2 linked regions of the Drosophila melanogaster genome follow. The protein of the gene in region 2 purifies or fractionates together with the protein of the main gene of each other region. This does not show direct contact. Each region holds a gene or a part of one and is shown on either strand. Other genes may lie near its edges.

Region 1 (7,922 bases), on a different chromosome or scaffold from region 2:
AATACACATAGGTATTTGAATTTGTATTTGTATATATGTATAATAAATATCCTTTTTTTTATTGTGACGCATATTTAATTAGCGCAAAAATATTTCGAAAAATCGCTAAATTCGTTTTTTTCTACTGGTTGATTTGTTTTTTTTTTCATATAAATGTTTGTATAAAAATCATCGATTTTGATCTTAGGCTAAAGTTTTTTTTTTTGGTGGAAGTTAAGGATTCGCTTCGAAAGAGACAGGTGGGCACAGACGCGATTCGCTTGGCCGTGCTCCTCTAATTGATGATAAAGTTAGTTATTGGCTTGGTATGGGCAGCATGGTATGATGACCTCGTCCTCAGGATGTGGCGAATATAGTCTTGCAGTGGGTGATGAGCGAGGAGAGCATAAAGATCTCCTCCGTCAGGTTGGTCATGTGCTGGGGCGTGGCAATCAGGGTCGGCGCAAATACGGTGGCCAGATTGTGCTCGTTCATCTTGTTAACGGCGTAGTGGGAGGCCACCCTGCGGGCAGAAGGTTTTTTTTTTTACTTAAGATCGCATTGACCATGCTGGCAGTCACACTCACCGCTTCAGGTGCTCCAGCATGTACTGCAGACAGCTGTGGTGGGCGGGCGGCAGGCGACGCACTGCCTCCGCCATGAGCTGGCGCTGCTCGGCCTGCTTGCCGGTGCCTGCAACAGATCAAAATAGATAGAGAGATAGATAGATGTGAATGGCATGGGATGAGGTGCAGCATAGCACCATAAAACTCACGTCCTGCTGCCATAAAGCTGGGATACGCCTGGAATGTGATGAGCGGCACGGGCAGTAGGCGCAGGTAGAGCTTCAGTGTGCCGGCGATCACATTCACATTGCCATACGCCGTCTCCGACATGTCCGTCTTCTCGCCCTCGCGATCCAGGGCGAGTTTGAGTGCCTCGATCTCATCGGCAAAGCCGGAGACCCGATAGATACCCTCCTGCAGCATGCCCCGGGCCTCCACCTCCTCCACGCAGCGGCGCACCACGAAGGGTATCTGGTGGTGGGGCTCCAGCTGCACCATCGTGGTCAGATCCGTGCCAAATACGCCGCGTATGCGCTTCAGATCCGGCACACACTTGGGCGGCACCAGTTCGGAGCACTTGCTGTGCGCCACAAAGCCGCACGCCTCACACTTGACGCCCTGGGCGGTGAATCCCCACAAGAAGTTGGCGCAGAACTCGCACCAATTGAGCCCCTTAAACGTGTGCACCTGTTTGGATCAGAATCTTCCATTAGATGCTATGATCCTTTATAGTTGGCTTCTTATGTCTGAACACACACCTTGAAGTGATGCGGCTTCTCGTAGACCAGCGGCATGGGATCCACGGCTGGAGGCGGTGGCTCCTCCTGCTTCTGCTCCTTCTCCTCGGCTGGCGATTCCTTCGATTCCTTGGCGGCGGCCTTGCCCAGCTCATTGGACAGAGCCCTAAGTTTCCGGCCATTTAAGGTCATGTATGGGCTTTGCTGGTAGCAGTTCTTGGTCTGCTGGTTAATCTGCTGGATGATGGGACTGGCGTGGAGCTGCATGTGAAAGTTGATCAGCCCGTCGGCGACCATGTCGTGCACCGTGTCGAAGCGCTTGTCCTGGCCGCGCAGATAGTGTCCCACGCCGGGCTTATAGAGGAGCTTGTAGTGCTTGGGTCGCTTGTTGAAGCGCAGGCTAAGCGTGTAGTAGCCATCGGATTGGGGGCTCCGGCGTACAAAGTAGCTGCCGTCGCGGGCATTGGCCAGCAGCTGCTCCGCCTCCAGGTGGCCCATCAGGCCATGGTACTCGGAGCCGTATAGCCTGCCCGCCAAGTTATTGGCCTCCACGGCCTCAGCCGTGCTTTTCGCCGGCGGAAGGGGCAGTGTTCGCTGGCAGCGCAGTGGACATGGAGCCGGTGCCTCCAGCTGCAGTTTGTACACTGTGCGTGGGCGGGTAAATGGGTAAGGGGATGGTTAGTCATATCATAAGCTTGTGGGTGGCATACGAGGTGCTTCTCCACTCACATTCCGGCTTCCAAACCTTCTGAACCGGAGAACTGGGCTCGGGGGCACCGCCTACTCCGCCGGATCCACCGGTATTCGCATTTCCGGCGCCCGCCTCCGTGTTCCGGGGCATCCTCCCTCGGATTAGCAGGCCACTTGGTCAAAAGCCACTAAGTAGGCGGCGAATAATTAAGGAATGCAGCCAATTAAGTAAAGTATACAAATAATTTTGTCCGAGCGAGCAGAGCTGCCAGACTGGCGAAAATTAGCGCGGTATTAAAGTCGGAAGAATACTAAATTTAAATGACTATAACTTTAGATAAACTTTATAGTAAGCTTATTGAATTTATTGATAGCTAAACTACATTATATTGTTTTGTAAATACTGTAGTATGCAGTGGTTCTCACTTAATAATCAGTTTAAAAATGTCCGAAAGCTCAGAGCACAAGAGCTCGCAAAAAATACCACAAACAATTTGCTTAATTTCAGTTAAGTTTCCTAAATATTTCAAAAATTTGCATCAGTCGTAATTTTAAGCAGCCATTTATTTGATTGCCATCCGCTTTCAACAAGAAATAAAAACAAGAGCTAAGGTTTCAATTGGTTTAATAGTTTAAGTACGTTTCTTTTGTAAAAAGACCTACACATTCATTGGATCTCATTTCATTATTTATTAAATACAAATATTAAATTATTTAAAAAAAAATAAACATGTAAAACTTCAAAATGCGCATTTAAATACGGACACACGCCACCGACGCATATCAGCTTTAATTTAGAAATACTTTTTCGTGATACTCTGGCTTTCCTTCCTTCCATTGAAGTATACTATGGTAATTCATATATATATATATATAAATGTATCGAGTGTGATTGGTACAAAAGAACGACTGCACTAGTTGATAATTACTGATTAACCTTCTAGTGTCAATTTTAGAATAATACGCACATTCACAGACGCGGTAATTAGTTATGGTTAATCATGAATCTATGTCTACATCGTTGGTTAATTTTGGAAGTGGGAATAGCTCCAATCTCGTAGTTTTAGTTTTTAGTTTTCAGTTATTAGCTGCTTGTGTTAAGCACTTTCCCCTGTATTTGTTATATCTCGATATCCTTGGTCGTTGTCCTTGGTTTTGAATGCTTTAATGCCGGGGTAAGAATGGCTAAGTTGGAATCACGGAGTTGGAACTTCTGGCGGAATGAACGGCTCATCTATGTGTAGCTTGGCAGGTGTGTTTAGTGTTGGTGTGTTGTATTGTGTTGGATATAGCGTTGCTTCTATTGTCGTGTCGCTGGACAGTTGAACAGCTAGAATCGGTCTGATCCTAACCGCTCATGACCATGCGCACGAACTCCTCGTAGTTGATGTTGCCCTGCTGGTCCTCCATGTTGGCCAGCAGCTGCTCGACCTCCTCGTCGGTGAGCTTCTCGCCCAGCGTGGTCAGCAGGTGGCGCAGCTCGGCGGAGGAGATATAACCGCTGGCGTCCTTGTCGAAGTGACGCAGTCCTTCGATGAAATCATCAGCCGTATCGCCCGAGCGGGCCTTGGAGATCGCCTGATAGATGGGCAGGAACACCTCGAACGAGATGCGCTCGTCGGGCTTCAGCTGGTGGGTGCACTTCTTGACATCCGACTCGGTGGGGTTCTGGCCCAGGGCCCTCAGACACTCGCCCACCTGGCTCAGCTGAATTTTGCCATCTCCGCGGTTGTCGAACAGGTTGAAGGCCTCCTGGAATTCTGCGAATGGAAAGTGCGTGCTGATTGTTGGCAGATGCTTTACAAATCTTAATTATTATCGTTACAACTTACAAGAACCCTTCGATAAGGGATATAATATATAATACCTACATAACTACTACATATAAACGTATGGAAATGTGAGGGGGAACTATAGCTTTCTACCACCCACTAAATGGCTAAATGGATCACCTTCCAGTGTGGTAAAGGTTTGCTTCACATGCGCCGTATAGTAATACATATTGAACCACTCCGATGACCGTTTTGCCAGCTACTGACTGCCTGAAACTCCGCCTGCCCGGATTTGGCTGGCCATCGGATCGAAGCGGATCGGATCGGCTCCGATGCAAGCCACCACTCCGCCTTCCTTGGCCATGGTATACCCTCACGTCGCTGGCAAACTTCGTTTCTCTACCGGGAACTGCCTGCTTGCAAGTAAGATAAACAACCCAGAAATCCTAAGTTTCAAAGTTTTTCGTTTCGAGGCGTGACATCGCAAGTCCATTTCGCGTGCAGTTGGATTTAAGCAAGTGATGGTGTAAGTTAACCAAGCTGCAAAAGTTCTGCGATCTACGTGCGTAAATAGAACATTGTGGTTGGGCTCAATATTTTGTTTTCAGATCCTCTAAAGATCTGAGCACTAGAGTGTTCACCATTCGATGAATTGCTGGGATGTGTTCGGTTATCATGCGAATACGAGATCCAAAAATGGCAATAAAAACAAACGAATCCAGCACATTTTTGTCCATTTTAGGCAATGACAAAACGTCGACGGCTGGCTAAAGATTGCAACAAGGTAAGTTGGAATTGGAAAATAAATATATGGTATATGGCTCGTACATAGGCATATGCGGTTGAACGCTGACGTCAGAGTGTCACGAATCCAGCATGACGGAATTATCAGAGACCATTGACTTTGATTAGGTTAAACGAGGGGATTGCGTAAAGATTCGATTCGATTTGATTCGCCATGGAATCGAAATCGTGTTGCATTTTTACTTAGAGAGAAGGTGATGTTCCGTAAATGGAAGCTGGTTTTTTTTTTTTTTGTCAACTGACTGGCTTCTTATCGCATGGCTATTCGGTTTTTGCAACTGCAATTGCAGTTTTATTTGAAACGAGCAGCCGGCGAGTCAGAAAACCGGGTGATTATCCCATTAGACCGCTCTGTTATCTATATTTTATCGCTCACTTCCTTTCGCTTAAACAGTGTTTTTTTTTTTTTTTTGTACTCATACCGAGGTGTTGGTTATGATTATAAGCGACCAGTTTCTGTCTTACAATAACTGCTCTTATGATGACCTACAAACTTGGTTTACACTAGCTTAAGACTAGCACTAGCTTGTTGGCAGAAACTAACTAGCTGATGGTCGAATAAGTTTGTTGCCTGCTATGCATATTATCAATTAACTTGGTGTGGGTTTCGGATAACCGAAAGAACTCGGATTTATCAAGAGATATTAATGCGAAACTTGGTACACAGCCGTGTGTCGCTATTCTATGAAGCTATTCCTTGGACGAACATAATCTGCTGATCAAAGCCCAAAAGTAGCACAGTTTCGATATGTGTTGTCAGCTTGATCTCGGATGTCTTTCGAAGTCATCACGTCAAACTTTGCCTACAGCTGCTCTTAATTAAAGCATTTTGGACAGGGTATTGCAGTGTTTCGGTTTTGGGACTTTCTCGCCGCTTTTTAGGTGAGTCACGATCGTATTCGTATGGCTGCCGTCTGCCTTCCAGCGTATTTGCTTTATCAATGATTCATGCACACCACACAAATGTACGTGCCATCGCTTTCCCGCATTCCAATGCTGTGTGGGAGTGGGAGGGAGAGGGCGCTAGGTGCCAGCGCACATATCAATACTATACACATATATATATCTGTATATATATATATATGCGATTTGCCCGACTTTTGACTCCTGGTACTTGACCCCGTCTGGTCCTCGTGCGATTCAACTCACCAGCCAACTGATCCTCGGTATAAGCTGCCTGCGGGGAGAGAGAGAGGGGAAAGAAAGGAAAACAATGAAGGAAACTTGAGTGCTGGCTTCCAAAGGCGCCGGAAAGCGCACTTCCAGTGCGATCGTAAACAGTAAACAGCGCCGCAATAAACAGCCTGCACTCACCATATCGATTTGTTTTTAGCTATCTGAGGGAAAACAACACAAAATACACGAAATATTGAATATTGAATTCGACGTCGAAACAAAACGCAAGCAAATTCTGAAACGTTGTTGGTGTTAGTGGTCGCCGATAGTGGGCGCAATCGATAGGCCACTCGAAATTCGATAGGTGCGACAACATCGATGAGTGCAGGGAGTTTAGTGAAATCGAGCAGTGCTGCCAGATCGTTTCACAAGAAACCGCCACACGTGCCGCCGATTTGTTTTGATTTTGGATGCATTGGATCCTGGCCAAATTAGTTAGTCCCCGATGAGCACACAGAAGGTGGAGTACGACGCTGCGTTGGGCGGCCGGGTCACACTGCCGTCGCACGTGACCACGTACCATTATGCGGCCGAGGCGCTGCAGGAGATTCGCAATTTGGTGGCCGACTGCCAGGAGACGACGCAGCGGAGCAGCAAGCTAATCTTCCAGACGCTGCCCAAGCACATGCGCCGCCGCGCCATGTCGCACCATCCCAAGCGACTGCCGCGCAAGTACCGACAGGCGCACAAGTCCCAAATGGGCAAAAGCGGCAACCAGCCGGTGAATGGGAAACGACCATCGAGGAAGTACCGCCGGAGACCCAAGAATCTGATGCGTGAGTACGTGCGCCGGCAGAGGCGGCACGTCTGGCTGGAGACGCACATCTGGCACGCGAAGCGATTCCACATGGTTGACCGCTGGGGCCACCGGTTGCCCTACGCCAGCTGCGACAAGACCTACCGCGCTTGCTATCGCGCCAGCGCCGAGCACTGCCTGCTGCAGGACATCTCGTTCTATGGTTGCGTGGAGTTGCGGGGACCCTTGGACATGCTACGCGAGGGATTCGCCCGGCTAACAAGTCCGCAGTGTGGCCTTGGGATCACGGCCCGGACTTTTCTGAGCGGACGACGTGAGGGCAGCGTGGAGTTATTTGAGGATGGCCGCTATCCGTATGGAGCCCTGCAGCGGGCCAGTTTTATGTGGCGGCCACGGCGGGAGGAGGAGGATGAGAAACAGACGAATCACACGCTCTGGCTGTGGCTACATCCCAGTGGCGCTCAAGCTGTTCTAAATCAGCTTATAAGCGTGTTCCAGCTGAAATCCACAAGGCAACAAAAGCTGCCTTTAAACGAGGCTGTGACTGAGGAAAAGATGGATGTGGATAAGATTGAGCCAGTCGAGTTGTCCAAGGAAACATCGCCTGGCAAGAAAAACTCGAAGAAGAAGCCTGAACAGAGGCCCCTGCGCTTCTGGACAAAAACGAAAGCATTCGATCCACAGCCTAGCTACTTCAATTCCGACGGCACTCTCCACTTGGTACTGCTGCAGCGGGAGTTTAATCGTTTCCGTTTGACAGGGCCTAGAGCCCAAAAAGTTCTTTTTGCCAGCTTACGTCCGCATCGAGAAGAGGAGCTCCAGGATAAAGCCAACTACTGTCAGGCAGCCTTGCAGCTGAGCTCGCCCGCCGAACTGCTGTCCAATCTGGTGATGGCCCACCTTGTAGTGGATCCGCGCCTGCAGCGGCCCAAGAAGCGTACGAAAGCAGTCGGCAAAATGGAACAGCCACCATTATCCGCCGGCGATCTTCTCATGAATCAGCCAAAGAGTCTGCCGGAGAGTCCTCTGTGGAGCAAGAAGGCGAGAGAGCGGCTGGCCAAAGGCATTATGTCCGCGCACAAGTACGACCAGCTGCGAGAACAACATGCCGTTGTGCCAGGAGCTCCATGTGCCTTCGAACAGCAAATGCAGGCGCTTCCCGTGATACTTATTCAAAGACCAGGATCTCAGGACCCCAGATACAAGAGATTGGGCTACGGCTGCGGCTGGGATGTGATTGCACCGGCAGGATACGGCATGACCCTCTGGCTAACACTCACCATGTGGGGCGCCAGACCCGGCGGATTGAGGGAACTGGATTCGGTGGCTAGGGAGGCAGGTGCCGAAATACATCTGCCAGATACATTAGCGGGTAAAAAGTGTTTTATACTCTGGCGTATTCTATATTCCCTTAATCATCTCACTTTGCATCTGTTTAGGA
Region 2 (7,922 bases):
CTCGATGGGCATCTCGCTCTCCTCGCGCAGCGTGGCGATCTCGTCCTCGGCACTGTGCGCCTCCATGTCCGCCAGAGCCTCCTCCTCGTTCAGCGTGGCCTCGTCGTCAAAGTCGTTGACCATCATGTCGATGGTGGGCTCAAAGGTGGTGTCCGCCACCGAGGACGACGGCGACATTGGCGGTTGGACGCTGGTGCTGTTGTTGTCCGAACTGGTGGCCGGCGACTTGCGGCGCTCCCGCTTGGTGGGCGTGACGGCCAGATCGCTGTTTGCCAGGCTGCCGGAGTCCGCCGACGCCTCGGAAGCGCTGTGCTGGGAGTGATCCGACGATTTCCCGAACTCCATCATTTTCCGTACACACAGTGTGGCAGCAGCCAGAGCGCCAAAATATCTGCACTTCGCCTGCGCAAATGCGCTAAAAAACGGCACTAACTGGGATATTCCTTTTTTAGTTGGGGTACTCCTATATATTCGAAATTTGTTTTTGTTTGGCTTTCCAAAGTAATGCTTAATTACACGAATTTTAAGATTCAGTTTTTCTGCCTTTTCAAATTTAAGTGATATGTGCTCTTCTTATGTATAAATCACTTTATCAATATTTTAGCAAGCTTGACAACATTTTCCACGTTGACATGTCCATATATTTTACATTATAAGCTGCTCGAAAAATAAAAAAATTATATTCAAATATCAATCAATTATTTTTCTACCGCAATATATAAACTTTCCAAATAATTTAATTATGTGCAATTTTTCTTTACATATTAGTTGATAAAACAGAAACGAATAATTTGAAATTTTTTTATTGAAAACATTTTTGTAGTTGCGCTTAAAAATAGGAATGAATGAATTTGCGGTTGGTTTTGAATGAGATAAATGTAATAAAATTAACAAATACGAATGGTGTTCTTTCCCATGACAACAATTGCGCCCTCATCTTGCACCTCCTTCAGGGCATCTTCAAATTGCTCGCGTGTGATCATCTGCAATAAATTATCGTTTACATTGATTTTATATTATAAATATATTATATTAGCACTTACAATTTGGGATCCTTCCTTAATATCGCTAAACAGTTTCTGATAGGGAACTGTGAGAACTTTGCCCTTCTTCTTGAGGTTTTCCTTGATGGCTGCCACCAGATCGGCGCGCTTTTTGCGAGCGGCTGTTGATAAGCCGGTGGTGAGAATGCCCACGTCAATTTTGCCGGACAGGGGATCCGTGGCCGACTGCTTGAGAGCCTCGCGATGAAGCCGCCAAGCCTCCTCCACGTCCAGCAATTCCACCTGGTTGCTGAGACGCACCTTGGCGTGCGCCTCCGACAGTCGGATGAGACTCTCCAGCTGGCGCGGGTAAGCAGAGATCTGGCCACGACCGGCGCCCACCTTTCGCATGTCCACGTAGGCCTGAATGAGTCGTTGTTGCGCTTCATCCGACAACGTAGGCGACAGATGTTCGCGGGCATAGGCGATGTAGTCGCGCAGGACGCTCATGTCCTGAAAATTGATTGAATATGTTACAGAGATATTCCGGAGAAATACCAACAATTGATCCAAGCTACTTACAAACATGGTATCCTCCTCCTCATGACGCGTCACATAGTACAAAGATACCAAATGGCTGGCCAGTCGCTTGTCAAAGATCTCATCCTGGGGATCCAGGACCAGAAAGATTAGGTCGAAGCGGGACAACAGGGTGTGCGGAAGCTGGACGTTATCAATGATGTTCTTGCGCTTATTCCACTGAGACTCGGCGGGATTGGCGGCAGCAAGAATCGAGGTCCTCGCGTTTAGCTGACAGATGATTCCCGCCTTGGCAATACTCAGTGTCTGCTGCTCCATCACCTCGTGCAGCACACTGCGTGTCGAGTCGTTCATCTTGTCAAACTCGTCAATGCAGCAAACTCCATTATCGGCCAAAACCAGTGCACCTCTGAAAACAAGCCATAAGATTACAACCTAAATTCGAATCTGATTCAAGCTTTTAGATTTACGTTTGCAGAACCAGCTGGCGAGTCTCCGGATCTTTGGTCACATAGGCAGTCAAACCGACGGCCGAAGAACCGCGACCGGAGGTGTACTGTGATCTTGGCACGAGGTTGAAGACGTACTGCAGCATCTGGGACTTGGAAGTACCCGGATCACCGCATAACAGCAGGTGAATTTCCGATCTGAAATTCTGGCGGCCGAGAGTTGCATGCTTCTTCTTGGTGCCACCAAAGAGCTGCAGCAAGATGCCTTTCTTGATGTCGTCGTTCTCGTAAATAGATGGGGCAATGGCCCTGGCCAAGCGGTCGTAGATGTCCGGTTTCTTGGCCAGCAATTGTAGCAGCTCAACGCGTTCTGGCGGGAAGATGTGATCCTTACTGGTAGGTAATTAAAATTATCAAATTTTATTCTAACCAGTAATAAAATGCAAGACTTACCCCTCCTCATCCTCGTACAGTCGCTTGTTGTCCACCTTCCGGAAGTGAACCACATCCACGTGCGTCTTATACACACTTTTTACCGACGAACTGAGGCCTCCAGTCTTCAGTGGCGTCGCCCGATAGATGCCTGTGACCGTGACGCGATCACCAGGCTGCACCTTGTCCACCAGATCGTTGTGAGCATACAAAAGCACATTATGCGGAGTCTGTCCCGCCGCCATGTCATCTGGAGACTCCTGAAGTTTGACAAGCTGCTTATCCGTAAACTCCGATCGATTGTGGATTAAACGGAAGCAGTGGTTCGTGTTGCAGTTGGTGCAGAGCGTGGGCTGGTTAATGCGACCGCGGTCCACCTCGACGGTTGTGCTGAAGGAACAGATGTTGCAACTGAAAAAGGCTTCGCGCATCTCGGGAATGACGTTCGACGAGCGAATGACCATGCCACTAATGCTGATCAACTGGTCCATATCCTCGGGATTTAGGGATCGCATGTTGCGTGTCTTGTCCGCGTTGAAGGGGCGCACTTGAATCTGGTGTTCCAGAAGAGCGGCAGGATAACGCTCAAAGAACATCTCGTTTATGGCCATATCAAAGCCAGGAATAACCTCCTGCGGATAGCAGATCAACTGGCGGTACAAGTCCTGATCAAAGGTCTTGAGATGGGCACAGTTGAGATTCAGATAGGGCTCCTCCAATGTGTGAATCTCCTCCAGCTTCTGAAGATACAGTGGCTGGTTAACATCAATATTCTCGGAGATTTCGTCCTGCTCGGCACTGGGGTCAATAAAGCGCATAATAAACGACTTGAACTTGGATTTGCACTGGCTGACAACAACATTGGTTCCCCAGACGACGAGCTGAGGTGCTTGCGAAGATTCCGATACAGGATCGGTGGTTTCAGAGCCCTTCTCAGGAATTGGTTCGAGCTGTAAAAGCGACTAAACTAATTTGAAAGTCCCAAAATGAGTTGCCAGCGTACACTTACCCCAGAGCCCCCACCGATGGCCACCTGGCGGATGCGCTTGTCCGTTCTTATATCGGGCCGCGCCCGCAGCGGAGTGCCTCTAATTCCGGAACGAGGGGTTCGAATGGACCCCATCGAGCTGGGGGTGCCGTAGTTCAGCGGCGAACTCAGATCGATCTCGCTCATGTTCGCACCCAATCCTCGAGCCGGACTGGTGGCTGGCAAGCTGATGTTTCCCGGCGAGGTGGGCGGCAAACTGATGTTGTCCGAGGGCCGGACAGCCCTCCCGGGACCCATGCGCATGGGTGTCTCCACATCTTGCGACGCAATGCCTGTAAGCAGACAGACGCTTGCTTTGCAAACAGAACACACTTTTTGTGGCACGTCGATACTCACCTCTAGTGGGTGTGCGGGCGCCTTGTTTGGGCGTCGCACCTCCAACACTGGGCGAACGAGCGGGGCTTGACATTTCCTTAGAGAAGATATTTATTTAACCCGTGCGTCCTGGGCGAAAACTGTAGCTGTTGTGAAACAAAAAACGATGCGGTGGGACAGACCAGCTAAAAATTGGCGGGAAAATAACTGTTGCAGTGTTGAAGAATACCAATGGGTGAGTTGAGCAGTGCTGAAAATCTAACTGCAGAGCATTGCGCGCCAAATAATTGGTGCTTTCTGGGGTGTTTTGCAAGAAAAAATTCAGTTACTGTGGCATTATACAAATCTTTTTGCAAGATATTTTACTTTGTTCAAATTTAATCCATGGTTAGAACCACACATTTCTAATTTGGCCCAAACTGCACGCCCTTTGGCAACCCTGCCCTTTTGCCAACAACAAAACATAAGTCAGTCAGTCAGGCGGTGACAGGGACGGAAGTTTGTTTGTTTTTCTCACACTTTGGCGTTGCGATCTAAAAATTATCAATGTTTTTATAAATTATTCCTGGCTAATTTTAAGTAATTTAGGACAGTACATTTACATAAACCCAAAAAAAGACCACGAAAATGGTAATTTAAATAGGCTGTCAGAGCCAGAAAAAAAACGTACCACCAAGGAAATTAAACCTAACGGGATTTATGCACCCAACTCACTCCCACGCGGAGTAGGAAGAAGGAGAGGAGAGAAAGAAGGAGCGCGAAGCGGAACCTGGAGTAGGAGGAGGAGCCAGTGGAACCATGTCTAGCGAGGAGATGCTATACGCGCAGGTATTGCACAGTATATATTGATGCCCTACAAGTGCATCGTGGCAGATTGCGGCGGTGTCGGTGTCGTCTGCAAATGGTGCCAATATAAAATCGCACCCATAACGTGATTTCCCCCGTCCGAAGTGTGTGTGTGTGTGTGTGTGTGTGTGCAGGCCATTCGACAGTTCTTGGCCCTGATTTGTTCCCATGGCAGGTGATTAGCCATTGATGACTGCATCGCAGCACCCGAAATGTTTAAAAATGATTCATCTACATACAATATTCGCGGGTGTCTTATCGACAGGGGAATGGGTTGTGTGATAAGCTCGATTGATAAGACACCAGGTCGGGTGACGTCTCTAGAGGGGATCGGGCATAACTCCCATTCATAAAACTTGTTAATTCGGCTCACTTCTTTCGCAGGGCGCCAAGATCTGGGTGCCCCATGCGGATCTGGTGTGGGAGAGCGCCACCTTGGAGGAGAGCTACCGCAAGGGCGCCGGCTTCTTGAAGATATGTACGGACTCCGGAAAACTGAAAGAGGTCAAGCTAAAGGCCGATGGCAGCGATCTGCCTCCACTGCGCAATCCGGCCATTCTGGTGGGACAGAACGACTTGACCACCCTGTCCTACCTGCATGAGCCGGGGGTGTTGCACAATCTGCGTGTCCGCTTCTGCGAGCGCCAGATTATCTACACCTACTGCGGCATCATTCTGGTGGCCATCAACCCGTACGCGGAGATGCCTCTTTACGGGCCCAGCATAATCCGAGCGTATCGGGGTCATGCTATGGGTGATCTGGAGCCGCACATCTTTGCCCTGGCGGAGGAGGCGTACACGAAACTGGAGCGCGAGAACTGCAACCTGAGCATCATCGTCAGTGGGGAGTCGGGTGCGGGCAAGACGGTGTCCGCCAAATACGCCATGAGGTACTTTGCCGCTGTTGGAGGTTCCGAGTCGGAGACCCAGGTCGAACGCAAGGTGCTGGCATCTTCGCCGATCATGGAAGCCTTCGGAAATGCCAAGACGACCCGGAATGACAACAGTTCCCGCTTTGGAAAGTTTACCAAGCTGCTGTTCCGGAACCAGATGGGTGTGATGTTCCTGCAGGGAGCCACTATGCACACCTACCTACTGGAGAAGTCACGTGTGGTGTACCAGGCCCAGGGAGAGCGCAACTATCACATATTCTATCAGCTGTGCGCGGCGCGATCGAAGTACCCTGAACTGGTGCTGGGTATGTCTGGAAGCTCCCTCCTATTTCAGCTTAGAAAATGAAGTAATATTTCCATTCTCTCAAAGATCACCAGGACAAATTCCAGTTTCTGAACATGGGTGGCGCTCCTGAAATTGAACGAGTTTCGGATGCGGAGCAGTTTAACGAAACCGTGCAGGCCATGACAGTTCTGGGCTTCTCCATTCAACAGATCGCTGATATCGTAAAGATCCTGGCAGGAATACTCCATTTAGGAAACATTCAGGTTTCCAAGAAGTTCAACGAGGGCAGCGAAGAGGAGGACAGTGACTCTTGCGATATATTTGTAAGCTCACTTTCGTAAAACCTGATGACAATTTCTGAGTTATATATGTACTTTAACTTCATCCATCTCGTAGCATAACGACATCCACCTGCAGATCACCGCCGATCTACTGCGGGTGAGCGCCGATGATCTGCGCCGGTGGCTTTTGATGCGTAAGATAGAGTCGGTCAATGAATATGTGCTGATACCGAATAGCATTGAGGCGGCTCAGGCGGCTCGAGACGCTCTGGCCAAGCACATCTATGCGAAACTGTTTCAGTATATAGTCGGTGTGCTGAACAAGAGCCTCAACAACGGTAGCAAGCAGTGCAGCTTCATTGGCGTCCTCGATATCTACGGCTTCGAAACGTTCGAGGTGAACTCCTTTGAACAATTTTGCATAAACTATGCGAACGAAAAGCTTCAGCAGCAGTTCAACCAGCATGTCTTCAAGCTGGAGCAGGAGGAGTATCTTAAGGAAGGAATCACCTGGACGATGATTGACTTTTACGACAATCAACCGTGTATCGATCTAATTGAATCTCGCTTGGGAGTGCTGGACCTGCTCGACGAGGAGTGTCGAGTAAGATTCATTTGACATAGTACATATCATTATTAAACCGGGTCTATCTGCAGATGCCAAAGGGCTCGGACGAGAGCTGGGCTGGCAAGCTCATCGGAAAGTGCAATAAATTTCCGCATTTCGAGAAGCCACGCTTTGGCACAACCAGTAAGTTATTTTCCGATTCTATGCACTATTATTTCGATGACAATCTGTTAATTCTATCTTTGAGGCTTCTTTATCAAACATTTCTCGGACACGGTCGAGTATGACGTGAACGGATTCTTGGAAAAGAATCGTGACACAGTCTCCAAGGAGTTGACGCAAGTGCTAAGCGAGTCCAACATGTCTCTGGCCAAGCAGGTGATGACCCTGGAGGAAATAGATACTCTGTGCGTGGATTCCGCTAAATCCTCCACCTTGGGCGGCCGCGTCGTGATCAGTGCTGGCCGCAAACAGGTTTGTGTTTGACCAGATTCTTCATGGACCCAACAATCGTATTGCTCCAATTTCGTCCAATTGTAATCGTTGTCTTATTGCTATTTGTATTTTCCATACGCTTGTCGTTCGCTCACCGCCAACTCCCTCGGATTGCCCAACAGCAAGGGAATGACACACGTCGAAGAGTTAGTTACCAACTTATTTAAATTAACAGCAATTGACTAACCCTAAACGAATAACCACAAACATTTTAACAATTTAATTCGACTTGGTACATTTGTTTTAATTAAAGTTACTAATTTAGTCCGGATTCAAATGACAAGGCTAAATGGCCCAGTAATGCTGATTAGAAAGAATCAAAGTTGCTTATAGACTAACAATTCACTACCTCCGCAAATAAATAATAATAATAAATGATGATAGGAATTTGTCAAATAGGTGATTCAATATATTATCAATAAAATATGACACGCGGACGAACGAACATATTAAATGAATTGGGTTAATGAGAATAAGTTTACTCAAAATGTAAAACTAGTTTGAAACTCTAAATCGATCTTATGTATTCATTTTCATTTTGACTGTGTTTGCCTATTTCCACACACGACCTACTAATTTCGCCTAATACTTGTTATAAGGTGGTGCCATCCAAGCAGCATAGAAAAACGGTGGGATCGCAGTTCCAGGAGAGTCTGGCGTCGCTGATATCTACGTTACATGCCACAACTCCGCACTATGTGCGCTGCATCAAGGTAAGATGTGCTATTGGATCTTAAGTACAGATAAAAGCTCATTAAAATATGTTTATTTTCGTGCAGCCCAACG

What was found.
Region 1: the proteins of didum (region 2) and Mlc-c purify together in Drosophila melanogaster (affinity purification with mass spectrometry; 3 studies listed by BioGRID, with this or other methods). This does not show direct contact.

Annotation. Positions count from the first base shown.
Region 1 is NC_004354.4:5,616,555-5,624,476, forward strand, and holds Mlc-c (myosin light chain cytoplasmic), read right to left. Parts: upstream 4,022-7,922; 5' UTR 3,974-4,021; coding exon 3,925-3,973; intron 3,733-3,924; coding exon 3,320-3,732; 3' UTR 2,582-3,319; downstream 1-2,581. Other genes in the region: RhoGAP5A (Rho GTPase activating protein at 5A), read right to left, coding at 337-502, 567-672, 755-1,232, 1,304-1,926, 2,012-2,123; POP1 ribonuclease P/MRP subunit, read left to right, coding at 6,170-7,853, 7,921-7,922.
Region 2 is NT_033778.4:7,495,914-7,503,835, forward strand, and holds the start of didum (dilute class unconventional myosin), read left to right. Parts: upstream 1-4,233; 5' UTR 4,234-4,565; coding exon 4,566-4,595; intron 4,596-4,997; coding exon 4,998-5,811; intron 5,812-5,876; coding exon 5,877-6,115; intron 6,116-6,188; coding exon 6,189-6,677; intron 6,678-6,730; coding exon 6,731-6,824; intron 6,825-6,888; coding exon 6,889-7,115; intron 7,116-7,258; coding exon 7,259-7,282; intron 7,283-7,735; coding exon 7,736-7,849; intron 7,850-7,915; coding exon 7,916-7,922. Other genes in the region: CG1620 (uncharacterized protein), read right to left, coding at 1-348; dpa (disc proliferation abnormal), read right to left, coding at 888-983, 1,044-1,496, 1,566-1,932, 1,994-2,365, 2,426-3,354, 3,414-3,724, 3,789-3,861.